Tamandua tetradactyla: one gene and its partners. The protein of the gene in region 1 purifies or fractionates together with the protein of each later gene. This does not show direct contact. Links are inferred from orthologs where the notes say so. Each region holds a gene or a part of one and is shown in the gene's direction. Other genes may lie near its edges.

What was found.
Region 2: the proteins of MEPCE (region 1) and SNRPN purify together in Homo sapiens (affinity purification with mass spectrometry; 3 studies listed by BioGRID and IntAct, counting the BioPlex papers as one, with this or other methods). This does not show direct contact. The link is inferred for Tamandua tetradactyla from reciprocal best matches to the Homo sapiens genes MEPCE and SNRPN.
Region 3: the proteins of MEPCE (region 1) and CCNT1 purify together in Homo sapiens (affinity purification with mass spectrometry; 3 studies listed by BioGRID and IntAct, with this or other methods). This does not show direct contact. The link is inferred for Tamandua tetradactyla from reciprocal best matches to the Homo sapiens genes MEPCE and CCNT1.
Region 4: the proteins of MEPCE (region 1) and HNRNPUL2 purify together in Homo sapiens (affinity purification with mass spectrometry; 3 studies listed by BioGRID and IntAct, with this or other methods). This does not show direct contact. The link is inferred for Tamandua tetradactyla from reciprocal best matches to the Homo sapiens genes MEPCE and HNRNPUL2.

The regions. Positions count from the first base shown.
Region 1 is NC_135349.1:8,542,067-8,549,742, forward strand, and holds the start of MEPCE (7SK snRNA methylphosphate capping enzyme), read left to right. Parts: upstream 1-4,302; 5' UTR 4,303-5,520; coding exon 5,521-7,182; intron 7,183-7,676. UniProt on the Homo sapiens protein: S-adenosyl-L-methionine-dependent methyltransferase that adds a methylphosphate cap at the 5'-end of 7SK snRNA (7SK RNA), leading to stabilize it.
Region 2 is NC_135338.1:78,877,154-78,884,704, reverse strand, and holds the start of SNRPN (small nuclear ribonucleoprotein-associated protein N), read left to right. Parts: upstream 1-4,264; 5' UTR 4,265-4,308; intron 4,309-7,551. Other genes in the region: SNURF protein, read left to right, coding at 1,002-1,097, 4,159-4,264.
Region 3 is NC_135333.1:109,629,901-109,637,149, reverse strand, and holds the start of CCNT1 (cyclin-T1), read left to right. Parts: upstream 1-3,823; 5' UTR 3,824-4,074; coding exon 4,075-4,235; intron 4,236-5,830; coding exon 5,831-5,912; intron 5,913-7,249. UniProt on the Homo sapiens protein: Regulatory subunit of the cyclin-dependent kinase pair (CDK9/cyclin-T1) complex, also called positive transcription elongation factor B (P-TEFb), which facilitates the transition from abortive to productive elongation by phosphorylating the CTD (C-terminal domain) of the large subunit of RNA polymerase II (RNA Pol II).
Region 4 is NC_135335.1:11,864,324-11,872,187, forward strand, and holds the start of HNRNPUL2 (heterogeneous nuclear ribonucleoprotein U-like protein 2), read left to right. Parts: upstream 1-4,800; 5' UTR 4,801-4,857; coding exon 4,858-5,428; intron 5,429-7,497; coding exon 7,498-7,633; intron 7,634-7,864. Other genes in the region: TTC9C (tetratricopeptide repeat protein 9C), read right to left, coding at 259-441, 2,899-3,136.

The DNA.
Region 1 (7,676 bases):
GGTTAAGAAGTTTCCCCAAAGTCTCAGTGTTAATACATGGTAGAGCCAAGATGAATTCAGGCTTTTTGTCTCTAAATCCTACTAATAACATATCTATATCCTTTTCAGTGAACGCCTTTCTGACTGCTGGTTTTGAGCATTTTGAAAGCACTACACCTGAAACTCACTCTTGTAACTCTCCCCTTATAAAGAGATCCCAAAGCAGCTTAAGATGGATCCTTGTGTTCATATACACTTCCCTTTAAAGGATCTGAGAATTTTAGGACCCTGAAATGGCCGTGCTAGAATGAACACTGGATTGTTCAAGGTGTAGGATTCCTCCCTTTAGATCCCAAGATGAACTCAAAAGGTGTTTTATATAGACTTGACAAAATGTGGCCACAGCATGGCTAAATGCAAAGTATGTCTAAATTAAGCTTTGGCATTTTATGTCTGTTTTCTTACGTCTATAAATGTGAATAATTCAGATGTGCTATTGCATAGCAACTTTTCCTTTACATTAAAGAGCAAATTTTCTCACAATTTCCATCTTAATTCATCACTATCAACCTCCAAAAGTATATGCTCCAGGAAAAAAAGACAAGTGGGAATTTGGGGGAGAAACACTGCAGCAAATTGGTCTCCTTTATTTTAATCCTAAACAAAAGCTAGAAACCAGATAAAGTTAGGCTGCAAAAGGAATATTCATTTGACCACAAATGACAAGCATATCTTCTCCTGGACTCCAGAATTCCAAAAAAGGATCCTAAGAAGCCCCCGTGAAGGAAAACTGAATTATAAGGAGAGCTATTCGAGGCAAAAAAAAAAAAAAAAAAAGTACGAGATAACATTTAATTTTTTAAATGTATTTCTACATAATATGCTTGTATATTCACAAACTATGTCTAGAAAAATACATAAGGACCTGATAAAAGTGCCTCGGAGGAGTGAAACTGGATGATTGAGGGCAGAGGTGAAAGGGAGACTTCCTTTTCAATGTAGTCTTCTGTGCATCTTTGGAATTTTATAACATACATATTACCGCTTAAAATGATTTTTTTTATTTTTAATTCTTTAAATGAGATAAAAAGAGTATTTTCATCAACCTAAAAATGCAAAATTTTCCAATAGTTAAACTTAAATCCTGATCGAAACCTATAAGAGCTATTACAGGCCAAGTGTGTTTTTGGAGCCCCAACCAACTAGATAAAATTGTGGATCACTGGTTGAGTTAATAAGACATAGTAAGTCTATATCTTCCCTATAATGTAGTGTGGGAATATGATGAGGAACATTACTTTTAAAGAAAAGCTCTAACCTGATCAATAGAGAACCGAAAGCCAGAAAATCACTTCCTAACAACTCAAGTCACTCACGACTCCTCTGTTAGAGACGAATTATCTTCTTCCACAAAAATGAATATTGGAAGCTAGTTCTGAGAAAGGGGAAAAAATACCATATATGGTTAATAAATATGTAAAATGCCACCAACTGTCATTTGACCAACTACTAAATGAGTGGGGGGCTGTAGACGCAGGAATAACATTTGAGATTTTAATTTCTTTTCCTACCTTATGAAAAGGAGAGAGAAGGGGAGGGGAAAAAAAAAAAAGTCCAACAGGGTTTAAAGTAAAAAAGTAAAGGAACCAGGATAGGTCAATAAACTCAATCAGACCTACTCAAGATAAGAAAGAAGAGTGAATAAGGAGGAGAAAAGAAAGTACTTAGAAATAATAAAGAGAACCAAGGGAAGGTGAATGAGGCTCTCCAAAAAAAAAAACAGAAAGTTTTCTTTCACTTAGAACACTAAAAATCAACACATTCACTCTGAGGTGAAATCGCCTAGTTTAGTGGTTCTCAAATTGTGGGCCAAAGACCCCTGGAGGTCCCTAAGTCTCTTTCAGTAGATGCACAAGGTCCTCCTTTTTCCAACTACCTATCGGTGTTAGGCTGGATTTTCTTCACATACTTCAACCAAAACAAGATATCACAACAAATTGGATTCAGAAACATGAGAATCCCACTGCCTTCTATTTAGCCAGACATGAAAGAGATTTGCAAAAATTTAAACAATGCTATTCTTCATGCTGTTTTTTTTTGTTTTGGAAAATAAAATTTTCATTTAAAACGTTACTCAGGGGCACAGGGCTGGTTCAGTGGCAGAATGCTCGCCTGCATGTGGGACACCCACGTTCGATTCTCACCCCATGCACCACCACCCCCTCTGCCCCCCAAAATAAAATGAAATGTCACTTAGGAGTAAACATGTAATGGGTTTATTACTGTTATTTCAAAATTAATAAATATTTTAACTTTTTCTGCTTTAATGTCTAATATGTTAACATCAATAGGTATAAATCTCATAAATCTTTGGCGTTCTCGCTAATTTGAAGAATATCAAAGGATTCAGAGATCAAAACGTCTTAGCACTGATCTAACTAAACAACTGCATTCAGTCTTGCCCATATTTCCCTAAAACATTAATCCTTCTGTCTCCTGGTCCCTACCCACCTCCCCAGCCCCCTTTAGAATGTGCTCATGAATTTCTCCCTCCTGATATTATTCCGTGAATCCTTGGTCTAATAGAACAAAAGTCAACCCTTTAGAACTGTCCTCTAACACAGACTCCAAGAGCCTCAAACAACAACTGCATTTAAAATTTCTCTTAAGTCTGATTTCCTTTGGATGCGCATGTCTAACCACAGGTGTACTACTGCTTATTTTCCAGCCACGATGAACAGATACTAGCTTTTCTTTTCTCTTTCTTCTGAGTGTATGTGACTGTGTGCAACATGTGTGTGAATGCGTGGGCTCAGCAAGCACGATTTAAAGTGAACCTTTTAAAAAGAAAGAAGAAAACCCAACGACAAAGATTCCAGCTCACCTTACTGCCCTTATTACCCCACTTCACAAGACATTTACTCTTGGACCTAACAGCCAGTAGCAGCTCCCTGAACTAAACCTAGTTCAGACTCCTAAATAAACGGTGAACTGAAGCTTCTTAATTCAGGGAGTGCAAGGAGGTGCAAAGTTACGGCCATTTATCAAGACACAGAATCTTCTCCTTGGGGCCTGCTGGTCTCCTTCATTTTACCATCCATACCCCAAAAGGCTTCCGGACGTGCCCCGAACTGTTACCGACTCCAAACCAGTATTTTTGTGTCGAACTCCCAGATGCTAACCCACTTTTTCCCTCACGACGTGTGGCACAATAAACACCTAACTCCACCTTTAAAACCAAAGAGAAAAGCTCTGGCGTCCGCATTTTCCCTCTCTCTTCCCTCACCAATTTCTCTAAGGGACCGCACCCAGTCAAATGTCCTTGACCTCCCTCAGAAGCTAATAGTGGCTTTCGAGCCTCTTTTTCCGATCAAGAATCCCACCACGGGAGGTGGCCCCTCAGCTCCCTCCGAGGTATCATCAGCATCCTCATTCCCACTAAGACCGTAGTTTGCCATTATACCGGGTTAATTTTGTTCGTTCGTTCGGGCTGGGTTTGAGGTGAGAGATTCTAAGGAGAAAGGGTAAGAGTTAGTTGTCGCCCTGACGCCCTGAGGAGAAAATTTCTCTTCAGGGAAGAGGTATCAGGATCGGGGGCGCCTAGCAATTTCATCTGCAACCAGAAAAGAGACAGCTACCTTCTGGAACGAGGAGGACCTAAAGGCGAGGAGCAGAGCGGGCAATTGCAGGGATTCTGCAAACCCCTCCAACCTCGATCCAGTTTTCCCGCCACGAAGAAAAGGCGCGAGGACAAGCATAAGCCCCACCCCCAGAGGCGTGAGCACATGGCCGAGGCGCATGCGCTGCTGGAAGCACCTACTGCGCTTGCGCCGTTGAGTTATTGCCACCATTTTCCAACAGAATCCACCACGACCACCAAAACTACAAATCCCATAATCCTCGTTGGCTTCGCCTTTTCCTTGGGCGGCAGGGGTAGCGCCTGATTTTTCCTGACACATCTTTCTTTTACTACCTTGCTTTTCTCTCTGCCTCAGATAGTTTTTTCTTCCCTCGATTCCTAATCGGCCTTTTAGTCTCGTTCACGCCTTTATTTGAGATTATCCTTAGCCCCACTTTCGCCTCTACTGCCCTCTTCTCCACCACAGGACGAGCATCCCCAAGCACTCTTCAGGCAAGGAGAATAGTGGAATAACCTCTTCCCCACTGGCCACAGTAGGGGGATCCCAAAGCCGGCTGAAAGCTCTTCCTCGCCCACATACGTTTTATATAAGCCGGCGCGAAGCCGAGCGTGTGCTTGGGAAGGACTGCGTGCGAGGTGGCGGTGGCGGCCGGGGGCCGAAGTCCGCGGGGTGGTGGGCTCGTGCGCAGGCGTCAAGTGGTGGGCGGAGGCTGGGGTCTCCCGGCCGTGGCTGTGGAGGCGGGGAGGAGGGCGTGGTGTCCCCAGGTGCTCACCATCAGAGAAGGCGGAAGGAACCAGAGACCGGCTTGGCCACTTCGGAAGAAGAGGAAGTTGGAAAACATCGGCTGTTTTAGTGTTGTCGTTTGCTTTTCAGTTCAACAGATTATTTTCGAGGGGGGTGAGTTAAAATGGCCTATTGCATTTTATTGACAACAGCTCGTACAGGAAGACGGTCAGTACGCTCCGCTCCTTCCCTTCCTCTACTTCAAGGCTCACCCCTCCGCCCCTTAGGAAGCCCTTCTAAGTAGGTGGGCAAAGGGGGTGGGAGACCAGGTCATGAATAATTCATGAGCCCGCCCCTTTCCTCAAAAGGCCACGCCTCCCGGATCGTGCTGACGCACGTTGCGCGTACCAAACCTGAGGAAACGACGTAGCAGTTCCCGCCCACAAGACGGAGGGCGGGGCGTCGTCCCTAGCACGTGCTGCATCTACCCGCGCAAGCCCAAAAGGGTGTGCGCAGGCGCTCCCCGCTAGGGGGAGGAAAGAGGCGGGGTAGGGAGGTTGTTGGGATTAGAGCCGGGCGGAGACCGCTGAGACTCATTCCTCAGGAACAAGGGTCGGGTGTCAAGGAGACCTTTTCACACCAGCTCCCCGTCCCACGCCTACGGTGGGTGGGATCGCGTGGCAGAGACAAAGGATATCAGTAGGGACGGACATAGCCGCGAAGGGAAGTAGGGTGTCAGTTTGGGGTGGTGGGCTTTTGGGGGGTTGAGCGGGGGGCTATATTTAAACTCCCCGGAGCCGTTAAGTTGGTTCGTACTCTGATGCGCGCGCAACCAGGGTGGTGGCGTAGTGCGCATGCGTAGCTCCGGGGCGAGAGGAACGCGCTTCGGCCGTGCGCGCTCGCGATCGAGTGGTGGTGGTAGAGGAGAAAGGGGTCGGCGCACGCGCGGTTGATTTCTCGAGTTGTCTGGGTCTCGCGGGCATCTTGTTTTGGTCTCGCGGGCGAGTGGGGCGCGCTTGGGCGCAGGGAAGGGGGGGCGCTTGGGCGCGAGACTAGGCGAGAAGAGCAGAGCTGCGCGCGCACTCGGGAAAGGGGGGAAGGGAGCAGGCTTAGGGAGGGGGGTTAAGCCCCCGGATTCCCCTCGTTACCCTCGACTGGGACGGAATAAGGGGAGGAAATGATCGAGATGGCGGCGGAGAAGGAGCCGTTTTTGGTGCCGGCCCCACCGCCGCCGCTCAAAGATGAGTCGGGCGGAGGGGGCGGCCCCACGGTGCAGCAGCACCGAGAGGCCGCCTCCGGGGAGCTCCGCCGCGGGACGGAGCGTGGGCCGGGACCTCGCGTACACTCGGCGGGGACCCCGGCTTCTGGGGCCAGCAGGGAGAACCCCGGGGCTGCCTCCACTCCTCGAGGCGGCCAGCAACAGCAGCAGCGAGGGGGCGGCCCCCAGGCGCAGCCGCAAGGGGAGGCCCGCTTGTCGGACCCCCACGGGCGAGCCGCTGCCCCGGACGTGGGGGAGGAGCGACGGGGAGGGGGCGGAACAGAACTGGGCCCCCCTGCCCCTCCTCGCCCTCGAAATGGCTACCAGCCCCACCGGCCCCCTGGTGGGGGTGGGGGCAAGAGGAGAAATAGCTGTAATGTAGGGGGAGGTGGTGGGGGCTTCAAACATCCGGCCTTCAAGAGGCGCAGGCGGGTCAATTCGGACTGTGACTCTGTATTGCCCTCCAACTTCCTGCTGGGGGGCAATATCTTTGACCCACTGAACCTGAATAGTCTCCTGGATGAGGAAGTGAGCCGAGAACTCAATGCGGAGACCCCCAAGTCATCCCCACTTCCGGCCAAGGGGCGAGATCCAGTGGAGATCCTCATCCCCAAAGATATTACTGACCCACTCAGTCTCAATACTTGCACTGATGAGGCCCACGTAGTTCTTGCTTCGCCACTCAAGACTGGTCGGAAGCGGCATAGACACCGGGGACAGCACCATCAGCAGCAGCAGCAGGCACCTGGAGGGAACGATAACCACTCGGTGCTGCCCACAGCCCCCCTCACTCCTTCACTTCAGGGGGAGGGCACCACACAGCAGCATAGAGGCCAGAACCGGGACGCCCCCCAACCTTATGAACTCAACACGGCCATCAACTGCAGGGATGAGGTCGTGTCTCCCCTTCCATGTGCCCTACAGGGTCCCACGGGCTCCCTTTCAGCCCCTCCAGCTGCCTCAGTTACCCCTGCACCCCCGTCTTCCTCCTCACGACACCGCAAACGTCGCAGGACTTCCAGCAAGTCGGAGGCAGGGGCCAGGGGTGGAGGCCAGGGTCCCAAGGAAAAGGGCCGAGGGAGTGGGGGAGGCCGCCACCACCACCACCCTCTACCTGCAGCAGGCTTCAAAAAGCAACAGCGCAAGTTCCAGTATGGGAATTATTGCAAGTACTATGGGTACCGCAATCCTTCCTGTGAGGATGGGCGTCTTCGAGTGTTGAAGCCCGAGTGGTTTCGGGGCCGGGACGTCCTCGATCTGGGCTGCAATGTGGGCCATGTGACCCTGAGCATTGCCTGCAAGTGGGGCCCATCCCGCATGGTGGGCCTGGATATCGATGCCCGGCTCATCCACTCTGCCCGCCAGAACATCCGACACTACCTGTCTGAGGAGCTGCGTCTCCCACCCCAGACTTCTGAGGGTGACCCAGAGGCAGAGGGTGGGGAAGGGACCACTACCATCCGAAAGAGGAGCTGCTTCCCGGCCTCGCTGACAGCCAGCCGAGGTCCCATTGCAGCACCCCAGGTGCCACTGGATGGAGCAGACACGTCAGTCTTCCCCAACAACGTTGTCTTCGTCACGGTAAGAGTCCGAAGGCTCTTGGGTTAGGGGCCAGGTACGGAGATGGGATTAAATGAGAATGTGGCAGGGGAAGGTTATGACCCAGAGGGATTTCAGAGCGTTAACTCATCACTAGAAAAACCAGATCCTCAAGAAAAGGGTCTTAACTGGCAAGTGACTGCTGCTGCTGAGTGTCTCAGTCCCCTCGTTAAACTGGGAAAGGTGAGGTCTCTTTGGGGCTTTAACGTGTTTGCAGTCATCTCTTCCCTAAGATAGAGGCAGTCTCCTTCTGCCCTGGTCCCAGCACTAATCCAGACCAGTGAGCACTCCTTGGGGACTGGTGCATCTGTTCACCAGGAGGTTTGGTTAGGATGGACACTGTCCCCAAACCTACTGAAATCGCCTGAAGGGATGGGTGGGGAGGCGGATTAAGATGGACTAAAACAGTTTTTGTCCTTTGATAGGGACCTAGTTTACATCCAGTGGTTTTGTTTCATTAAATATAGTGTTCGTTG
Region 2 (7,551 bases), on another chromosome or scaffold:
ACATATTCTGGATCATAAACTCTTGAAATGGATCTAATCCTATGATGCACAAATATTTTCTCCAGTTCTGCCATTGTCTTTTCACTTAACAGTGTCCTTTGAGGGAAAATTTTTTCTTTACTTTGAGAAGTCAGATTTATCTATTTTTCTCCAGTTTCTTGTGCTTTGTGTGTCATTTAAGAATCCGTTGCATAATCCAAGGTCACAAATTAGCAATGTATATAATTTTATCATTTAAAGATCTATTACATATGACTTATATAAATATTTGAAGTTCTTGAAGCAGTTAAACAACATAGGGTAGTTAAGCCATTTGAGTTACTTTGATTTTTCAGTCAGTAATAACTAGAGTAATAACTGACTTATATTTTAGTTTTTTAAAAAAATAGCTAGGATTCAGAGAATTTGCTTTTAGAATATATCCTTTGAATTCTGCCTTTGAATTATTATGCTACATGACATTTTGCAAAATGCCATTTTTTCATATCTGCCTGGATTAGCATTTTTAGTTTGCAGTTTTATTAGTAGATCCTGCAATTCCTTCCTAATGTGGAAAACCCAGGGGAAAGATTTCATTCTCAGTCTCTTGGAGCAGCCATTTTCTTTTGTAAATCCTAGCAAAGCAACACTTGCATAGGAGGTTGCTTCAGTAAATTAAACTTTATGCTTATATCATACAATACAAATGTATATATTTTTAAAATAATATTTTTTTTCTAAACCATCTTTGGAAATAGCTATTGCATACTTGGTAGGGGAGTGTGATATTACATGTATGTATGTTGTGCTGTGAAAGGGCTACTAAAGGGATAAAGAAAGTGGTTTAGGACAGATCCTGCCTGGTAAATTGATTAAGACCTTTGAAATTTTGTCTTGTGTTTAATTAGATTGCAAACACTTTAAACATTTAGAATATATTATTGTTCTAAGTATAATTAAGTAAATTATCGTTTCATAAATTGATGAATTCTAGCAAACAAATCCCTGTTTTTCTATTTCAGGGACCGCTTACACCTGAGACGGACTACAGAACAGCACGTGCCAGAGATAGAAGTCCAAGTCAAACGTAGAAGGACAGCCTCATTGAGCAACCAAGAGTGAGTATGACCTGAGTTAGGGAAGTAGTGTAATTTTCCCATCTGTATAATCTGTGGATGAGTAATTGGGATTGATAGTCTCTAAACCCTGCCTAATATATATGCTCAGGAATCTCTTGGTGACTCTTCATGGTTATGGCTGTGTGTTTTAATTGTTATCCATCAATCTTGCACCCTCTCCCAAACTTTAATTATTGGATGTCAGTCTTCCTGGAGGAATTGTGTGGGTACTAGCTTTAAAGGATCTATAACAAGTTTTCATTCCTTCCAAAAAACCCAAAGCAAAATTGAAGAAATAAAAGCCAAACCAAGACACAACAAAATATCTCCCCAATCAATAGTGAATATGAATTAGAAGTTCAATCTATTCTCCTGGAAATGATGGTTGCTCTGTTTTCAGTAGATATATCACCAAATAGGCTCTTGTTCTTTGGTGCTGCAGTTTCTTTCCTGTTTCTTGACGTCTTGTAAATTTAGAGCTTGGAGGCTTCTGAATCTACACTCCTCTGAATCTCATTCCAAATTCATATTCTGCATTGTAGGACATAAATACTATATAGGCTGCATCTTACTTAGATTTCACTTAGTCTTTTGGATTGCAGCTTGAACCCAAATGGGAAATTGCAATAGGAAATAGTCTTTTAAGTCAAGTTTCAGGGAACATATTGTTTTATCTGAAACGCTTTTTAGAGCCATGTTAGGTCAGAGATTTAATTGCCATTTGATAACAAAGGAAGTAGAACTGAGAATGCCCAAATAAAGACTTAAAAATACAGTGATTGGAATGTGATGTTTTAAATAGAGTAAAATGTGAAAAGATAAACTACAGAGAAAATTGGAAAAATTTATTATCCAAGTCCCATTTCCACACCCAGCTGCTTCTGAATAGTTTCATGTATATTATGTTTTATCATTAAAGAAAGACTTTTAAAGCAGTGCCTTTTTAATACAGTATTGTAATCTCATTAAGGCCAGAATTCCCTATATTTAGAGGCCAACTTCTGTGTGTTTATGTGTATAATATCTGATTTATTTCAGATTCAGTTATTGGCTCAATTAAAATATTTTGTGGCCCTTGCTGCATACTTTTAAGTGGTATAGTGTTTTCCTAATAATTTTAATGACATCAGGACCAGATATTATTAAATTGTTTATTTTACTAATTTGATTTTTGTGTTGATAAAGCATACCTTTATGATATTTCTCCTGTATGTACTTGGTTTAATACTATTTCTGTTTTCCTCCAATGTAAGTTATGCCTTTGTCAATTGTTTTCTTGGATGTTTTCTATATATATATAAAATGAAGGATTTAAAAAATAAAAATCAATTTTCCTGTTAGATACATATTTCCAGTTTTTTTTTACTTTTCTTACTGTTGAACTATCAGATTAAATATTTTGGTAAATGTATTGTTGTTTAATTGTATTGAAGATTAAAATGTCCTTTCTAGGAATTAGAAAAATATTTTAAAATCATGGCTTGAGAAATTTGGGAAATGTAGTTGTTAGCAGATGATTTTTTCAAATTGTTATTGTGTTTGCATCTCCTTCTGCCTTCTGCCATAGCACGGTCTCTTGGCGCAGGACCATTTCTGTCTCCCTTGCACATAGCTGTCATTCAAGGTCAGTTCATGTTTTGTATAGACACATAAGGTGACTAGAGCCCTGAAGAAGAAGCCTAGCTTCATGTATTAAAAATCCCATGTATTAATTTAGTTTGCTTTATTTCGAGATGGATGTGTTCAAAAGGAGAAAATTCTGTTCGGTGTACTTTATTGGTTCTTGTTCTTGGGATAGGTAGGTCCTTATCTGCACTTAAAGATACAAGTCAATCGACCGTAACAGGGACTGTAAGGTTTCTTACAGTAATATCACAGTTGACTGGAAAGATATTAGGGAAGGGCATATTACCTCCTTTATATTGTATCAGAGGTGGGACAAGATAGAAGAAAAGATCAGCAACAAAAAATTGTTTTTGTACTTTGGAGAAAATAACTATAATTTAGTAATAATCCTACAATTTGTAGTGGTTCTGACTTGTACCTGGTTTTCTATAAATTGTTAGATTATCACAGATGTAATTGAGTCCCTTATATAACAAAGACAGTTTCCATCATTTATGTAAGCCTTTTTGTAATTTTAGTTAATCCCTGACTTTTGGAAATACAAATATTAAAATTTTAGAAGACTTTCTATTTTCAATGTGATTTTTGTTCCCACTAGTTACAAATAGTAGTCTGTTGTACCCTTTAATGAATGTTTGAAGAATCATAGTGGGGTGAGGGATATGATGTAGTATTCTGATGACTGTTTTCAGGCTTTTCTCATTAGCCAACACAATTTGTAACTTTCTTCACATCTACCTAACCACAAGATGAAATTGAAGCCAGATAGGAAATATGTTAAGAAATTTTCTCTGGGATTCCCTGCTTTACTAGTAGATGGTTGCCTTACATAGTTTGAGAGCTGTTAAACAACCTTGACCCTGGCAGTTCTTTATTTTAGGCAGTAACTTCTCAGGAGGTTCAGCATGGATAATATCCTTAATGGTTTACAGAGAATAGCTTATTTACTGCTCCCTGAAAACAAACAAACAGATACCCCTCAATCAGGTGATAAAGGATGTTCCCAGATAAGACGTTTAGAAAGCAAAAGTGAATGATGGTTGTGGTACCTATGATGTTCTTATGAGACTTTATAAGCCTAAAGCAGGTCTTGGTTTTGTAGTTCCCTGGGTTTATCCCTTAGTTCCTTGACCATCGTCTTGTTCAGGCTCCTACCTGTTTCCTGTTTTATAGTTTCTTCAAAAAGTAATAGAGGGCAGGCCATGGTGGTTTAGCAGGCACAGTTCTTGCCTGCCATGCTGGAGACCCGGGTTTCCAGGTTCAATTCCCGGTGCCTGCCCATGCAGTAAAAAGAAAAAGGTAATGGAAATCTCTGACCCTAAATTAGGATTTCCTTAAATGTAAGGGTCTCTATTTTTTTCTTTCTTAATGTCATCCATATAGATACTTATCTCCCTATCACTTATGAATATGTATATAACCTGCTCTTGTCCAGGTGTCAGTTGTACCAGAGGCGATCCCAGCAGCAGCAAGTACCTGTGGTGGATTTCCAGGCTGAACTGAGACAGGCATTCTTAGCTGAGACACCAAGAGGTGGTTAAAGCACTATTGGAACATCGAGAGAGCTGATTCAAGTGAAACCCAGGTTAGAGCTGATGTAGTAATGATATAAGGTATAACTAAACCATTAAAGAATAGGATATTTGGGGTTCTCTGTATTGTCTGGGAAAGGTAAAAGAAAAGAAAAAAGATTCTTTTTCCTAAAAAATTTCATATCATAATTATGCTCATTGCAGAATGTTTGAAAAGTAAAATCAGGCCCTAATATTCCTGCCCTGATACTTTTGTCATTTTTCTCTATTGCCCAGTAGTCTTTATAGTACATGAGTATTTTTTGTGTAGTTTTACCTTTATTTTTGCTGTATTGATTATTAAGTTAATATTAAATTAAATATTTTATTAGAAGTGGTTTTTTTTTGAATATCTTGCTAGTGAATATTTTATGATTCCCTTTTGTGGGCGACTTCATTTTTTTTCTGCTGATAGTTTTAAAAAATCGCCAGTGAAGAGCTTTGCATTTAGATAAGATCATTTATTCATATATGCAGTTGTGAAAATAAATTGGATCAGGTTATATGAACTTATGGTACAGGTTCTAACTTACATTATGAAATACTATATTAGTATCATAGTTTTAAAAATTGTGAGAGTACCAATCACAATACACTTCTCACAAGCATTGATTTTAATTACAATATCATTTATGCTTGCTGAGTTATAAATATATTTCACATTCATTAGCAATGAATTTTAGAGAAGCTTAATATGTTTCCATGCTTATTTACTAATTAGTCCCTGTTTATTGTTTTGTCTTTTTATTACTTTCTCTCTTCACCAATGTATTTCCATCAGCAGACAATGTAATAAAATACTATCTATGATTTTTCAATGTGATGTAGATTTATTTACAGTCTGTCTTTTTATGTTGATTGCTTACATTATTAGGAAAGAGTTACTCAAAATTTGAGATTAGTAAAGTGCTTTGTTTTTTTCCTTTGTAATTCTCTTTTATTAGAATGTTCTTATTCCATAGGGTTTAATAGAAGAAAATGGGAGAAGGGAAGGTAGGGGTTAGTGATTTTCAAGACTTTTTCTTTTTGTTTTTGATAAACTACTTTTTTGTTTTTGATATGCTACAATTATTTGGCCCTGTTTCTGGCCACCACTTAATAGTTTTAAATTTAAGGAGACAAACAAATTTTCTAGCATGGATAGTCCTGCCTTGCTGATTCTTTTCCATAATATTTTCCAGTAATTTCATGGACTTGGGTTGCAAGGAGATAATGGTTTTTGATAATTGTCCACCTGTTCCTCAGAGTAAGGGCTTTTTTCAGTGCATTGGTATAGATAGACATTTTAAAAAAAATTTTGTTGTGGAAACATACAACACAAAATTTCTCATTTTATCCACTTTCATGTGAATAAGTCAGTGATAACTATTCCTTTCTAAACATCATGCTACCATCACCACCATCCATTCCCACAACTTTCTCTTTACCCAAAACAGACTTTGGACCCATTAAGCAGTAACTCCCTATTTCCCCTCACCTAGCTCCTTGTAGCCTAATTTACTCACCATTCAGTAAATTTGCTTAATAAGGTATGTCATGTAAGTGAAAGTATACCTTATTTATTTATTTTATTTTTTTGTGTCTAGCTTCTTTCACACAACGTGATGTCTTAAAGTTTCTAATACATGCTGTAGTATGTATTAGATCTTCATTGCTTTTTATGGTGGAATAATACTACATTTTATATGTATACCACATTTTATTTATCTTTTCACATGTTGACAGATACAGGTTTGCTTCTAACTGTTGGCTATTGTGAGTAAGGTTTCTGTGAACATTGATATACAAATATCTTCAATTTTCTTGGGTATGTACCTAGAAGTGAAATTGGCTGGAGCATATGGCACACTCAGATACTTTTTCGTTCCTCAGTTACATTCATTCACATCGCCTGTTAAATTAGTGTAATATTATTTAAATCATATATTATAATCTGCAAGGAGGACTGTCTAATTTTTTTGATGATCAGAATTTGTTTTAGTCTCCATGGCTCATCTACCTAAACAGTGCTAGTTATTAGTATCACTTTAGAGCAAAGGGTCTGCAAACTCTCTGATACATTGCTTTTTTGTAAGTAAAATATTGGTATACATCCATGCCCATTCATTTATGTGTGGCCTCTATATTCATTGACACTGTTATACCAGATTTGAGTAATTGCCACAGATATTGAATGGCAGAGAAGGGCTAAAAACCTAAAATACCACCTGTCCTTTCAAAGGAAAAGTTGACTGACTGCTGCTTTAGAGATATAGGTCAAGGAATAAAACACCACAGTGGTGCCAGTGGGGATGGTGGTACTGTTGATGATATATTTACAAGGTAGAGTTTCCTGTGTAAAAAGGTCAGGTCTAGGAATTATGCTAAAGACTTTTGTACAGCTAAGTGGATAGGTAAGATATTTTAACAATTGGTAACTTTTGTTTTATGTTTTGATCTAAAGCAGGCAATAAATAAAGAAAGATGGGAAGATAAATTAAAGACTTTCTGTATTTATGTTTTTGAACCACAGCATTAGGTTGACTTTTCTTTCAGTCATTGTATCCATTTGTCTTTTTTTTTAAAAGCTGGTTAGTTTCAGTCATGTTGGTGAGCTAATTCAATTTCTGTTTACTCTTCTTAGAAATGTCTTTCACTAATGTTTCTTCATTTCATTAAGCAGTCCTTATGATTATCGTGTATAATGAATAAATCAGTCTAGTCACTGAATATTTAACAATTTACTTTTCCCTTTTACCTGTTTTCAGTAGTTTTTGTGTTTTTATAATTAGCTAGGCATTATGAATAATAGTTTTATATAGTTTACTTCAAAATTTAGTATCTAAAATCTTAGCATGTTAAATATCTAGTTTTGGACTGAGGGAAAAAGTATTTATGACTCGTCTTGCTACATTGCTTTAAGAGATCATTATAAGCAGTGGTTATTATCATCAGAAATCATTATTCCACAAATAGTTTCAATTAAGGAAAATTGCTATCTTGTGGTTTAATTGGCATTGCTTTTGTGGTTGAATATTTTCCATATTGTTGTATTTTCTCTTTTTTTAATGCACATTTTTCTATGGAGAAAACAGATTTGATTTAAGCCACTAGTGGAGTACCATTTATTGTGTTTGCTTTGGCAGTTTGACCGTGCTATTTTACTTTGTCTTAAAGAATTATGCATTTTTTGTGGTTTAATAATTTGAAAGTCCAAACTTCAGTTCTGAGAATTGACTTGAGAATTGCAGGTGTGAGGGATCCCAGGGTATCTTGTG
Region 3 (7,249 bases), on another chromosome or scaffold:
TTTTTCTCTGTTATTATTTTATTTCTTTTTCTGTTGTCTTTTTATTTCTTTTTCTAAAGCGATGCAAATGTTCTAAGAAATGAATATGCAACTATGTGATATTAAGAATTACTGATTATATATGTAGAATGGAATGATATCTTAATGTTTTGTTTGTTCTTAATTTTTTTAAATTAATTAATTAAAAAAAGATAAAAAAAAAAAGAATAAGTTATTACATGTAGCCACCTAAAATGACCAGGACAGAATTAAAGTTCATAAGATTTCCTGGGAGTGGGGTAGGTGGAAGAAGAGTTTGAGATAAAATTTGAATAAATTAACTAAGCCTCAGTGTTTTATTCTTTTTTATTTTAAAAAATGGCAATGATGATAACAATGAGTCTAACTTATTTCAAGTAGTGGTGTTGTGAAGCCACATGCTGGTTTGAGAGAGCGGCTTGTTAAATTTTTAGGAATTTTGAGAGCTGATTATTAAGTCACTATTAAAAATTAAATTATATAAATTTACAAATGAGTATTTTACCTTATATATTAAAACTGAATTAATTATATTAAAAACAAAGGTAATAGATACTCACACTCACTGCTTCCTGGTTATTTTATTAAATTTTGCTATTATCTATGCTTGTGAAGTTATTTACATCTTTTGTATCTATATGGAAAAATATGTTTAATGGTGTGCACATCTTTTCCAACTCCATGATCAGTGATGTCACATTGATTGCTTGAGATCAACCATGGTGGGAGAATTTACAAAAAACAAGGGCTTAATTTACTACTGGCTTGACTTAAAATGATAGAAAAATATTAATAAAGCATATTAAATTTAAGTGTTTTATGTCTGTACTGTTATATTGCTACAAGCACAAAAAACTAAAGAAACATTCTTCCAGTATTAAAAACTATTATCCAGTTCAGCAAATAAGTTTCTCAAGTCACTGACAAATTAATGAAGTTGACATAAATCATTATTTCACTTTCATCTCACTGATTAATGTAAATGAATATATCAACCAACATTTACACTACACTCATCAATTGCAACCATGGTTTCATTTCATATTTGCTACCAAACTGTGATTCAAGAGTTTGACAAAAGTCAACAAAAGCATCCTGTGAGAATTAGATGTGTATTGGAAATTTGCAATGAAGAATATCGTATACTTTATTTTTTATAAATTGTGTGCTGCACATCTTTATATCAGTAAAAGTTACAATAAACTTGTATGCATATTGTAGAGACCCAGGGTGCAGGCCTTCCCCCCCTCCATATTAAGAATAGGTTACTAGGGTACACGGGTAGTTCAGTGGTTAGAATGCCCACCTTTCATGCGGGAGACCCGGGTTCGATTTCCGGACCATGCACTCCCCCCCCAAAAAATAAATAAGTTACTGCACGTAGCTGCCTACAATGACTGGGACAGAACTTAAAGTTCAGTGATCTTCGGGGGTGGAGTGGGGACGGGGGGTGTGTGGAAGAACAATGGTATTGTAAACCAAAGCACTGATCATTGTTGACAACAAATCTCCAAGCTCCTGGTTCATCAGACCCTGTTGAAACTGTTCTTATAAACCCTTGCACTCTTTGTGGAGTTCTTCCATTTCCTGACTAGCCATCACTGGGAAGAATCTTCTGCTTGTAAGTTCTAATAAAATTCACGTCTAACTCTGTGCCCGATGTGTCCTTCTGTCTTCAGGCAGCCCTGATCCAAACCCTCCAAAAGCTGGCTTGGAACATGTATATACACATACACATTTTTTTTCTGGTTAGCTAATTAATCATTTGCCAGCACATAGACACCATGGATGACCTCACTGAATGTGGCATTGGGAAGATATGGGCAATAACACACCAACTTTTCAAATGAGACTATATGAATTTTGGGGAGAAACTGTTTTAACAGTAGTAAATGGTAATGTTTGACACAACTAAAATTTCTCATTTTTAAGCACACTGGAAAATAGGATGAAACGGTGACATATGCTATAATCCTGTAACCACCAAGATTAGCTTAGTGAATAGGAAGAATAGTCCTATAGGTGTGATTTTCAGGAAACAGAGTCTTGACAATAAACATATATTAACACCTACTCTATGCCAGATGGTAATGTCAGAATGAAGAGGTGACACTGGAGATTACACAACTACTTAAAAGAAGAGCTGAGATTTGAATCCAAGCTGAACTAAAAACCTTCTGTTAGCGATTTAACTATCGCTGTTTCCTACTTTCAAATAATTACATCTTCAGTCTAAAAATATTTCCTTTCTCTGATTTACAGAGGTCTCCCTCTTTAGTGAGGCAGGGTAGCAAGTCATTAGTTAGTAGCTGCATTGCCTGACACCTGACAGATAAGGGAACTTTTCCCTGAAAGAATGGTACACTTAAGCAGGAGAGCAAATTCAAAGCATTCATTAAAATAGATTCGGTGGAGAATCAAATACAGGTCAGAGACCTATGTAAGAGTGATGAGAGAAATACTGTTGGTGGTTTCAAAGACAATACACATGACTAAACAACTAAAAAAGTGCTTATTAAAAAAAAAAAGCCTGTGATGGAAGCTTGAAATCATAAACTTTTAAATGTTATAATCGGAAGTAAATCATTTAAATCTTCCTGACCCTCCATTTCTCTGAAGTAAAATGGAACTAATAATAACTGTAGGAAGTATGTGGCAGAGGGAGCCTGAAATGGAAGGAAATACTTCTGAGAATGAATTATAATCAAACATACTGAGGACAGCAGCTGCTGCATCTAGAAGTGATGGGAAACCCCAAATAATACAAACACAAGACAAAGAATTCTAATACTGTACAAATTTAATTAAGGTAAATTCAGTATGGTTCCAGAAAAGCAGGAGCACATGAGGCAGTTTGCCAGAACTAGGGAATTAGACTTGATTTTAAAATCTACACTTATTAACTCTGTGGTGCAGAGCAAACTCCTTGATATCTTCGAGCCGTTTATTGTAGAGTGTTGTGAACATTTATTTGACAAAGATTTATTGACTACAGAGTTGGAGTAGTTAATGGGGATACAAAAAAATAAAAGGCATGATCCTTCCCTCTAATAATTTCAATACAACATAATAAATACTACAGTAACAATGATAGCAACATCTATTGAATGTTTCCTTTCTGTCAGGTATCATCAAAAGTGGTTTTCAATGCATTTAATCTTCACTTAATCCTCAAAATTTAAATCGTAGGTTGTATATAATTTCCATTTTATAGAAGAGGCTCAGAGGATCGAACAGCTATCAAGCCTTGAAACTGTGATATATCTTGACAAAGCGCAGGAACTTAAAAATTTGTGCTTGTGCGGTGTGATGGAAGCGTACGAGGCTGAAAGAGCATCTTTAGTTTACCTGCTTTGCAAAACAGAGATTAAAATATTACTAACTCTTGTGGTTGCGCCGATTACAGTGTCTTCTTAGTTCCGGATCACCTTGTAAAGCTGCTTTTAAGATAGGCTGTATTATCTTACATTGCTACCAACAAAGTAAAAGCTTTGCAGATGCTTTATGTTTTGATATATGACAGGGCCACTCTCTTTGATTCTTTTTTTTTCTTCAGTTTTTTGACTGTCTCACCTATTGTTCTTCATCTCCATCTATTCCATTTTATATCTTCTTGTCCGCAAGAAAGCAAGTTATCTGAAAAACCGCCCAAGCGCGCACCAGTAGACCCCAGATAACGCCACAACTGTTGCGCTGCGGCGTAGTCCCGAGCGCGATCGCTCAGCCGTGTTCTCGCAGTAAGAGACGTGATTTTGAACGAAAACTCTTAACTCCACCCTTCGTCCCAAAGGTCACATGACGGGCGCCTGCGTTCTAGACCCAAGGTCTTTGCTGATCATCTACTGGCTGTTAATTCAGCTACGGGGTGTCAAGAGGTCCGTTCCGGAAGTAGATCTTTTGACTGTCACTCAATGCGGAAGCGTCCCAACCTAGCTGTCGACCCCTGGCGGAAGTTCGTCACATCGCAGTTGTTTCTGCACAGCGGATGTGTGTCGCCGCTTAGGTGACGCTGGGAAGTACTTGCAGCCTCCGCCGCTGCCTTCTGGTTGAAGCACTATGGAGGGAGAGAGGAAGAACAACAACAAACGGTGGTATTTTACTCGAGAACAGCTTGAAAATAGCCCATCCCGTCGTTCTGGCCTGGACTCTGATAGAGAACTTTCTTATCGCCAGCAAGCGGCCAATCTGCTCCAGATCATGGGGCAGCGTCTTAACGTGTATCCTTTTGGACTAGGCCTTCGGCCTTAGAGTGGGTCCCGCCATGCTCCGGCATCCAGGCCTCAGTACCTGTCAGGCACGGAAGGGGGAAGAGGGTGGACAGAGGCTGGATGTCTAGGTTGGAGAGCCCACAATTGGGCAGGTTGAAATTCAGTGTTCGCGCTGGGTAGCTAGGCGGAGTTAATTTCCCGCTTTCTCACGCGTGCCGCCGACCTTGCTGGGAATTCGTATCCTTCCCGGCTTTGTGTTTTAATCAATCCTTTGTGGTCTCTCTTCAGCTATTCTGACTTCCTACTCTGACGGCTTTGAGATTTTCCTTTTCCGCTATACCTGGGTGTCTGGGAGGTTTGACTGTTTTGATGGCTGCCTCCCAAACAGGGTGTAAAGAAAGTTTTGAAAAGTTCAAAACCCGAAGGTCTTTGTAGGGTGTCCTGGAACTAATGTCTCCAACGGCTTAGGTTTAAATTCCGATCCACTCATTTACTAGCTGTTTAAATAGCCTATCGATTTCTTGGTTTACTTCTCTGTAAAATGGGTTGATAACTTGGATTTGCTTCAGAATAATGCTCGTGTTTTGTGGAATTTTTAAGGAAGAAATGATGTCGGTTTAGATTTGTAGGAGTGTATACCTAAAATCTGATGTTTTTAAAAATCATTTGAAAAATATTGGGTTCTTCTTAAGTTACGTAAGTGCTAATGTGTATTTGCTTTCATTCTCAAAGTTGAAGTAATTTTAGTGTTTTTTTCCCACTTGTTTTTGTTTGTTAGGAAATAAACTGTTTGTGTCAGAGAAAACTAATACAGGTTCCTTCTAGTCTGTGCATATGAGAAATTATTGTTAGGTTGCAGCCTCTGTGAAATACTGTGATGCTGGCCGTAATGTTTGTGCCTTAAGATGATGCTTCAGTTTGAAAGAGGTGTTCTCCTTTATTATTGCAGATAACCAATTTACATCCCAAGCGTCCAGTCAGTAATGAGTTGTCTTTTTCTTTGAAATTTTGTTTCAGCGCATTCTTAAAACTTTTTGTATCCATTTTGTTTTTAAGGTTGTTCCCAGCAGGGTACTGCATTATCTCTGTCTACCCAACATTGCTTTCTGAGGTTTTTAGAAGAAATGCATTTTAAAATATTTCCCTTCAGTGAATGATTATCAAACGATTCCAGTGTTTCTACCATGTGAGAAGGCTTCTTGGCAGAGACCAGAGGAACTGAAATGTAGCTTAGAAGTTGAGATACTGGAGAAGTATCCAGGGGCCAGATCTAGGAGGGCCTTGTAAATCACATGAAAGAAATATTGAGCTAATGGGTCACTTTTGCAGTAGGCAAGTGACGGAAGGGTTTAGATCATAAATAGTTTTGTTTATGTCTCATTTTGGTCCAGACTTCCTGAGAAACTCATTTGTTAATTCATTTTGTTTAAGACAGTGTTCAGTATCAATTGGCCATTAGTAATTTGATGCAAGAAAACAGATCTGCTCTTTAATTTGGAGAGGTAAGTGTAAGATTTTTAAGTGGTCTCTTTGGAAGGTGATAAAGGTTGTATTGTAGGGAATTGCTGCCTGCCTGTTTTTGGGCCTTAACTTGAACACTTCAGCTCACAACTGACCATCAACACTGCTATAGTATATATGCATCGATTCTACATGATTCAGTCCTTTACACAGTTTCATCGAAATGCAAGTATAATTTTTAATATGGTATTGTCCTTTTGTGAATGATTTCAAATGTTTGACTTATTCATAGAGTGTGAATTGTGATCTCTTTTATGCTATGGGGAGAGAATCTGTGAAGCAAGATATTGTTCCGGTAATGTAAGGTATTGGTAGAATGGGTGTTGGAGGAACTGTACAGGCAGTCCTTTGAATTTGTGAATTAAATATTCCTGAATTCTGCTGAGTATCCAGTCAGATTGGATCCCTCCTTCCTCTAGCCATTCCATACCTCTGATTGCAAGAAGCAAACCTTTATTAAGGGAGAAGTCAGCATTTTAGCACTAAATATAAACTATCTGATAGAGCCAGAATGAAAGGTTGTGGGTGAAGAGAGAAATTTGAAGAGGAATTACATAATGCATAGTTGTCTTGCAAGTTCTGAAAATATTTTACAGTAAGAAGTATATATATATATATATTATGATATAGATTTGGAATCTGGGAGAAAGAAATCTCGTCAGTGTGTCCACCCTATACATGTGTTAATAATACTTCCCCTTACTTTTACCTTTTAAGCTAAATCTTCCTTCCTATATATATTAAGCTTAGCCAAGATAGACACTCATTTTTCTGAGTGTCCTCCAAATTACCTTCAGGTAACTTGTTGAGTGGATATATGATTGGTAATTATCCAATACAGAGATAATCTTTTGGTTGACCTTTTCCAAAATCCAGTGATACATTTAATTTGTAATTGTTTATCCCCCCTAGGAATCTATTTTAGATGTATTTTGGAATTAGATAAAAAGTATCACCCTTTTAATAAGTTAATTCTAAGGGTTTGGTTGTGATGAATCCGAATTCCAATTTGAATGGACTTAATGAATTGTTATAACACTGATATATTTATGTCCTGTTAAGCCCCAAGGCATTTATTTTCTTAGACAAAAAAATTTTTAAGTGACGCAAACACTTAATTGGCATGTTCTAGAATTCACAAATACATAATGGGTTCTCCATTTATAAATATGTTTCAAGTATAGTATTTTAAAAGTAATAAACTTTATTATTTTAGAACCATTTTAGGTTAACAGAAAAATTGCACAGGAAGTACAGAAAGCTCCTATATATACTTCCCACGTGCAGTTTCTTCTACTAACATCTTCCCATAGTTTGGGACAGTTGTTGCAGTTGATGAACCAATATTGATACTTTAGTAACTAAAGTCTATAGTTTACATTAGGGTTCACTCTGTGTTATACAGTTCTTTGGATTTTGACAAATGCTCATGAGAATTATGTATAAATATACAGAATAGCTTCACTGCCCTAAAAGTTTCTAGTATTCCACCTATTAATCCT
Region 4 (7,864 bases), on another chromosome or scaffold:
AAAATAAAAGGAAATAAAATAAACCCCATTTTCACAAATACTCCCTCAGGAGGAAAACTTTATTTGTCCTTCATGCTTGGTAAGTACTGTTCAACGCTATGAAATATGTGTTTCCATCTCCACTTAAAGGATAAAAACCCAAGGCTCGGAGAGTTAAAGAAACTTGTCCAAGATCCCACAGCTTCTAGGTCGAATCTGAAATTTGAACCAAGGACAATTTTATATTGTCCTTTCTACGTCGGGCCCCTTCTCTCTTACCTTTTGGCTGTCTGTTGCTGGCAGCTGTGAGGTAGTGCCGCGCCTGGTCATAGTCCTGCAGGTGGTAAAAAGCCACTCCAGCCCGGTACAAGGCCTTGGCATTATCAGGCCGTCGTTCCAGGACTTTCTGACTGTATTCTTTCACTCGTTCATAGTTCACTGGCTCCATTTGAAGGAGGCAGGCTAATGGAGCCAAATGAAAAATGAGAGAAGAGGAAGGAAGGCCTCATTATACTAAATTCCACCAAACAGCTCAAGGCCATACCCAACATAGGATGATACCAACAGCATTCACTCATGCAACAAACACTGGAGTGTGTCTATCATGTGCCAGCATACTTCTAGGCACTGGGAACGCAGCAGCGAATAGAAGCTTTCCATTCCTTACGTCTGCTTCAATATTTACCGGATGCATACTACATACCTAGCGTTATGTTAGGCGCAGCTATAAAACAGGCCAGAATGCTCTTTAAAATGTATTTAAAACGCTCATTGTGTCTATTGTTCCCAAGCCTCTTTGGCCTGAATCCCCCATTTCGCCACAGTTCTTGTACTGCAGCTCTGCTAGCAACAGGCGCCATTAACTGTGTGAGAAAATAAGCAAGCACTGTGCTTTGTGCTTGGCAAGTACTACCTTATTCACTGCTCAACCCTATAAAATATGTGTTTCCATGTAGAAGCCAAGGGTTTAAAACAAGACCTGCAGAATTTGTTGGAAGCAGCTGGCTTCAGGATGGCGGCAGTAAACTGTGGAGACTGTTATGTAGAGCAGTCTGGGAGGAAGAGAATGTTTACCCCAAATGGTTATGTTAAGTATGAAGAACACTGAAAGATAAGAACTTTGCTCCCTCAGGAAATGCATGCATGCCTATTGACATCCTATGGTATATAACCAGGATCTGGTTAAGAATAAAACTGTCTGAAGTCTGTCTGAAGTAAACTCAAGCTTCAGACCCCCTGAGCCCATTTGTGTCTTTCTCTTTCTTCCTTTCTTTTTTTTCTCATCATTCCTTAATATCCTTCGAGCTCCGTTGCAATAGGAAGCAACATTTCCATCTCCACTTAAAGGATAAAAATCTGAGGCTCGGAGAGTTAAAGAAACTTGTTCAAGCTCCCACAGCTTCTAGGTAGAGTCTGAAATTTGAACCAAGGACTCTCTAACTTCAAGATCACCATCATTCTCAATGTTGATATATTGCTTCGCTCTCCCCTCGGATGATTTAATGGGACCTCGAAATACAAAACTGCTTAGGTGGCAATGTTCAAGACAATGTTCTTCCCTTGTATTAAGAAGGGAAATGTATTTTCTATTTGAAATTACAGTATTACTTAATCATGGGGCTGAGAAGATTGAGAAGCAGGGCTGATAAGAACAATCAAGGGCCTGGACTTATATTTGTATCCCTACCACAACATCCCCACCAAGTGGTCACATGGTTTGTACTTAGCTATTTCCCTAGTGGTCAACTAATCCATCACCCTCGCTTTATTCATTTCACAGCTAATTATGATCATTGACCATGCCCAGGCACACAGCCAGGAATGGGGAATAAGAGGAACCAGAGACAACCTGCTGATTAAATAGAACCTGCATCCTAGTCCCTAAGTGGGAGGAATATATAACAGGCACATTTTTAAAAATGCTTTGCAAGTCTGGCCTCTCTCCTGTAAATATTATACTTTACCATCCACCTACAGGGGACATGACTCCCAGGGATAAGCCTCCCTGGTGCTAAGGGATTATTACCAAGTGTTAATCAGCAATGCTTTTGGAGAAGGACCTGGATCAAAAGGCGGAAATTTAAATAAAATAGAACTGTATGGCTAAGAGACTTCAAACACAGTACAGAGGTCATTCTGGAGGTTACTCTTAGGCAGGTCTCAGCCACATTTCACAAATTGTCTCAGTATTGCAAAGCCTCAAACAAAAGTGCCCCCAAGGGTCCTTAAGACATTACAGGCAAGCCAACACCTATCTGGGAATCTGTGAAAAGCTATTTCTCTAATATAACAGTTTTACTGATTTAAAAGAGATAGAAGTTTCAATGGTAGAATGCTCGCCTTCATGCGAGAGACCCAGGTTCGATTCCTGGACCATGCACCCCAAAAGAAAAAAAGAGAGATAGAAGTTACCAGTAATTCAAGTTACCATCTAGCTGATTTATGGGAAGGAGGAAAACGAAAAAAAGTTACCGAAAACAGATGGCTTACACCACCAACTGAAGTGGCTTCTTTCCCAAATATCAAATTTTCCTTAGAGAAACAAAGCCCTAGCATAAATTTGGTATTTTCTCCAGAGCACTCAAAATTCTCTAAAGCTTAGTTACTGTAGGGTCGAAGGCCCACCAGCATCATCTGGAAGCTTTTTAGAAACAAATTCACAAGACCAGCCTCACACCCACTAAATGGGAATCTCTGCCCTTATGTTTTAATCAACTCTCTAGATGAAGTTTGAGAAGCCCTGCTCTAAAGAAACTAATCAGAGCCCTAACGGATCGGAAATAAGTTTCAAACTCACGCCAGAATCATTGGGTGACAGTGCAAAAAAAAGCATGTCACTGTTGTTCCCGACGTTAACAGAGTTTCACGTGCCTGACAGTGTGCGGATACTCTGCAACCATTCTCCAGCCCTCTTCTTACCAGCTAGATTGTTGTAGCAGTCTGTTTGGGTGCTCTGCAGGATGCTTTCTTGTTCAGGTGTGAGGGTCGGGCCCTGAGGTCCCAGATCAGGTATCGGGGAGGGCAGACTCGGATCCAGACCCCGCAACTGAAGCAGGGCTCGATGGTACCTACTCACGGCATCTCGGTACTTTCCTTCCCGGTAGCGCTGGTTTCCCTCCTCCTTGTACAGCTGAGCCTCCTGCAGCCGCTTCTCCATAATTCCTCGTCGCCCTGGACTCCTGGGGAATTGGAAAGCGAAAGAGCAACTGAAGGCTCTGGGGATGGGAGGAAAGTAACTGATTTTAGCTCCCGATTTAAGAAGCCAGGAAATTACCCTTATTCAGGCAGCCCCCTCACCCCGCCCACCAGGCCCCGGGAGGGGACCTTTGCCTAGTTTCTACTGCAGCCCTTTCCTCTCCTCTCTGCAGATTTTCTCAAGCCCCACAAATGCGGGAAACTATTTAGGGAGAGGATGTGGGAGTAAGAAAGCCAAAGATGAAGTGATTCCCTAAACAGGGTGATCTGCAATCGAGGAGATTTCCCCCTCAAAAGCACAGGCCCTAAGGAGTGTGAAAACCAATTGAATTTGCGTCCTCCTTTGTTTTGGACACACCTCCCTGACCTGGAAGTGGAAGGGAGTAGGCGGAGACAACTGCTAAAAATAAAAAAGCAGAGGGGATTTTCCTCCCTCCCAGTCCTTTATCTGCCAGTACAGTCATCTGTTGGTGCCTGGGCTCTGAGCTGAGCAAGCGACGGTGAATGAGGCCGGTGCCAACCGACACCCGGCCCAAGGCTAGGCCGGCCGCAGTGCACCTCAGTCGCCAGCCCAGCACGCTTCGCGGCCAGCGCCTCGTCCTCTGCTAAGACCCAAGCCCGAAAGTCTGCTCTTGGACTTCAGTTGACTGGCCGGGAGCACGGCGAGGAACGAGTTAGTCCCCGGACAGTTTCCTGTCGCAAGAGTCGCGCGCATTGCGCCTCGGCGCCCAATCAGAAGCGGCCCCGGAAAAGTAATCCGCCGAGACGACCCCGCCTCTCAAGCCTCCCCCTACGGACCAACCCGAAAAAGTCCCCCGGCAGCTCCACCAATTGGGAAAACCCAGGCCCACGGCTGACCAATCAGAACTAAAGATGACGATTCAAGCAGGCCAATAGGAGAGAAGAAAGGCGGGGCCAGGGTGTTTGCTGCTAGGCAGAAGTCGAGGCCTTGAAAGAAGAGGAGGCTCAGGGGTTTCTGTACTGCTTGGTTCTGTAGCGCCCTTTTAGTTTAATAATTAGAAAAACAAACTTCCCTTATAGCTTTTTCTTTAGCAAGTGGAGAACGATACTTTGTTCCACTCTTAAGAAGCTGCTGCATGCATAAACACTGGGGAAGAACCAGACACACGAGCAAGCTCTAAAACGACAGTGCAGGGCTGCAAATGGAAGTCAGACGGGAGTAAGGGCAGTGAGAGGGAGGGAGGGGCGTATGACCAGGGACTCCGGGAGGCTGCGCAGAGCCCTCGGCTGGAAGTACGGAGAGACGGGCGCGCAAGCGCTTCCGTGCTACGAAGCACTTGAGCCGCAGTCAACCCTTCCAGTCTCAGGCTCCGGCGCGGCTGCGCAGTAAAACCACGGGCAGCGAGGTGAAGGGAGCGGGAGGAGGAGGGAGGGGCGTGGCCGCGGTAGGGGACAGCGAGGGGCGGGAAGAAGGGAAGGAGCTCCCCATCGCGTTGTTTGGAGCTCGGTGGGGCGAGGGGGGGAGGGGGAGGGAAGGCGAGGCCAACACGACGTAGCGGAGGTTGCGCGCGGCCTGCGCTGCGTGCGTGCGCTCGCTCGCTCGCGCGGGCTCAGTGCTGGCGCGTGAGGCGGAGGCGGGCGGCGGCAGCGCCTGCGCGGTCGGGTTCGGTCGACGGTTCGCAGGGGAGGAGGCGGCGGGAGGCGGAGGAGGCGGCGGCGGCGATGGAGGTGAAGCGGCTGAAAGTGACCGAGCTGCGGTCGGAGCTGCAGCGGCGGGGCCTGGACTCGCGCGGCCTCAAGGTGGATCTGGCGCAGCGGCTGCAGGAGGCGCTGGACGCCGAGATGCTCGAGGACGAGACTGGCGGTGGCGGGGCCGGGCCCGGTGGGGCCTGCAAGGCGGAGCCTCGGCCTGTGGCCGCGTCGGGCGGCGGCCCGGGTGGAGACGAGGAGGAGGACGAAGAGGAGGAGGAGGACGAGGAGGAGGACGAGGAGGACGAGGAGGCGCTGCTTGAGGACGAGGACGAAGAACCACCCCCTGCCAAGGCCTCGGGTCAGGCCGCGCAGCCGCCGCCGGAGCCCCCGGAGGAGGCAGCCATGGAGGCCGCAGCCATGGAGGCCGCGGCCGAGCCCGAAGCTTCCGAGAAGCCGGCGGAGGCCACGGCAGGGTCAGGTGGGGTAAATGGTGGCGAAGAGCAGGGCACCAGCAAAGGGGAGGAAGACGAACCCGAGGAGCGGAGCGGGGACGAGACGCCGGGATCCGAGGCGCCGGGTGACAAGGCCGCGGAGGAACAGGGTGAGGAGCTGGCAGCGGAGCCCGGCTCCGAGCTGCCCCGTGCGCCCGTGAACCCGCACCGCGCCCTGCGTGGCGGGATCCGATCTCTTGTTCTTACTTGCCTGAAAGTACAAGATTCCAGTCGCCTTTTGCTGGGACTTCCCAGGGGAGGTGACTTTCATCCTCTACCCGCCGTTCTGAGAGATTTTGGCTGCCTCTGGTGGCCCTGCTCTCAACAGGAGGGAGATTCCTACCTAACTTGTTTCTTTGACGGTGGTGGATGGCAGAGAGTGATTTTTGCATGCGAACTGCTTGTGAGCTACCTGTGGAGCGGTCTCCCGCGGTTCTGGTTATGTTTTCCAAAGCCTTGAGCGATGAGAAATTGGTGACACGGACAGCCAGACCGACAGTTGGAGGCTTAGGTCTTTGGGCTATCTGGCTATTTAGGTTTGGGGGCTTCCTTTTCCCCGTAAAAATATCAAGCAATACACTAAATCAGTCAAAGCCCTGTCCACCAAAAGCCCGTTACTAGAGGTTGAGCCACCCAGAGAATCGGGGAAATCCAATCTTGCTCCTGCTTGAGCAGCAGAGAGAGCTTCTAGTCTGAAAGTGTTTGGGTTTAATAGTTAACTACTGAAGAGAAAGTATTAACTTGGTACATTGAGAATATGTTAGTTCACTTTGCTTGGCTAAGGTATTTTCCTTGCTTGCATTGTTATTTTTTCAATGTTCATCTTCCCACTGATTCACTGGATGGGCATATTTGTAGATCTGCTGTACACTTGCCCGAGCTCTTAAATTTCAGGCCCCTGACTTCCGGAATTGAAATGATTGAGGTGCTGGTGGGTCCCTTGAGTAACCCTGTAGAAGAGAATTCGGTAGTGGAGTCACCCCAGGGCGTTTGTGACCTTTCTCCCTAGTTTTGAAGTGATTTCATGATTAGGGCTGATCCATCCATATCAGTTTCTGTCAGAGTAAGGAAGGAAAACTAGAGTCTTAAAATTAAGTGGGTTGCCTTAGTTCTTCTTACAATACATTTTTAGGGGGTTACTCCTGAGTATTGTATAATTGGAATCCACTCTACAACAATCACTTGCAACTTGCAGGTTGTTTGTCGTATGTCCTGGAACGAAAACCCCATTACATAACCTCTGACTTATGTGTATCCCAGATAGCAGATAAAAAATGTTGAGGACTAAAGCAGTGCTTTTAATCAATTATTAAAAACTTTTTTAGTGTCGTAAAATACAAAAACCTAAGGGAAAATTCCAGGTGTTTTCTTCTTATAAAGAATGTTGCTAAATATACAACACCTTTCTGCCCCAAATTTTGTGCAGTAGGAAAAATTCCAGGTGTTTTCTTCTTATAAAGAATGTTGCTAAATATACAACACCTTTCTGCCCCAAATTTTGTGCAGAGGGATGCAGTATTATTTATGGGTCTCTTGTGACTTAATGGTTTCCTTTTGCAACTTTCAGTAAAGATCCACGATAAAAAATGCTGCTTTGTACCATGCACTTGAGTCCATTTGCTGCATAACCATGGCTATGCATTTTAAAAATTGAAAGGCAAACTTTTAAAGCATTAGGTGTTTCTATTTTCATGGAGCTGTGGGGAAGTATTGAAAAATATATATTAAATGCCTAGTTTAAATTTGACAGTCAGTCAAAATTAAATTAACCTGTAACTTTTTTAAAAAAAGACTTTTATGTCATGTTGATGGGAAAATCTGCACGTTTGACCTGATTTAAGCAGTTAAATTTAGAATGCAAAAATTGTCCAGTTTTTATCTACGCTTGCTGTAATTAGCGCATAATGTCCAATGTGTTCTATTTTATATTTTAAATAAAATCCCAGCCAATGACAGGAAGATGATCTTTGGAAATAAAATGTTCTGTATGTGCAGTGGGAATAACCTGGCTATTCTGATTAGACACATAATCAGATCCCCCTTCTAGTTTTTGTGGGTTTTTTTTTTCCAACTTTTTATTTTGAAATATTCAAACCCCCTCCTTTAGTTTTTATTGGTTCTGAGCTTATTCTACTCTCCAGTTTGAAAGCTGCTGATTTTCTTTCCCTCCTTTTTGTAGGAGATGACCAAGATAGTGAAAAGTCAAAACCAGCAGGCTCAGATGGTGAGCGGCGGGGGGTAAAGAGACAGCGGGATGAGAAGGATGAACATGGCCGAGCTTACTATGAATTCCGAGAGGAGGCTTACCACAGCCGGTGAGGGAAACAGTCCCTTTCATTGAAGGGAGTGTCTGCTCTGATATCGCTATACCTGATGTTGATTAGAGAGTCTGGAAGGAGGGGTGGATTAAAAATGGAATAGGTTTTTATAGGCATAAATTTTAGATTGATTTTACGAAATTGAAGCTCCTGTTGCCTTCTCTCATTGTTGAAAAAAAGCTGTCTGCTGGGATTTTATAATTATTGATAGTTCAAAATGAACATGAT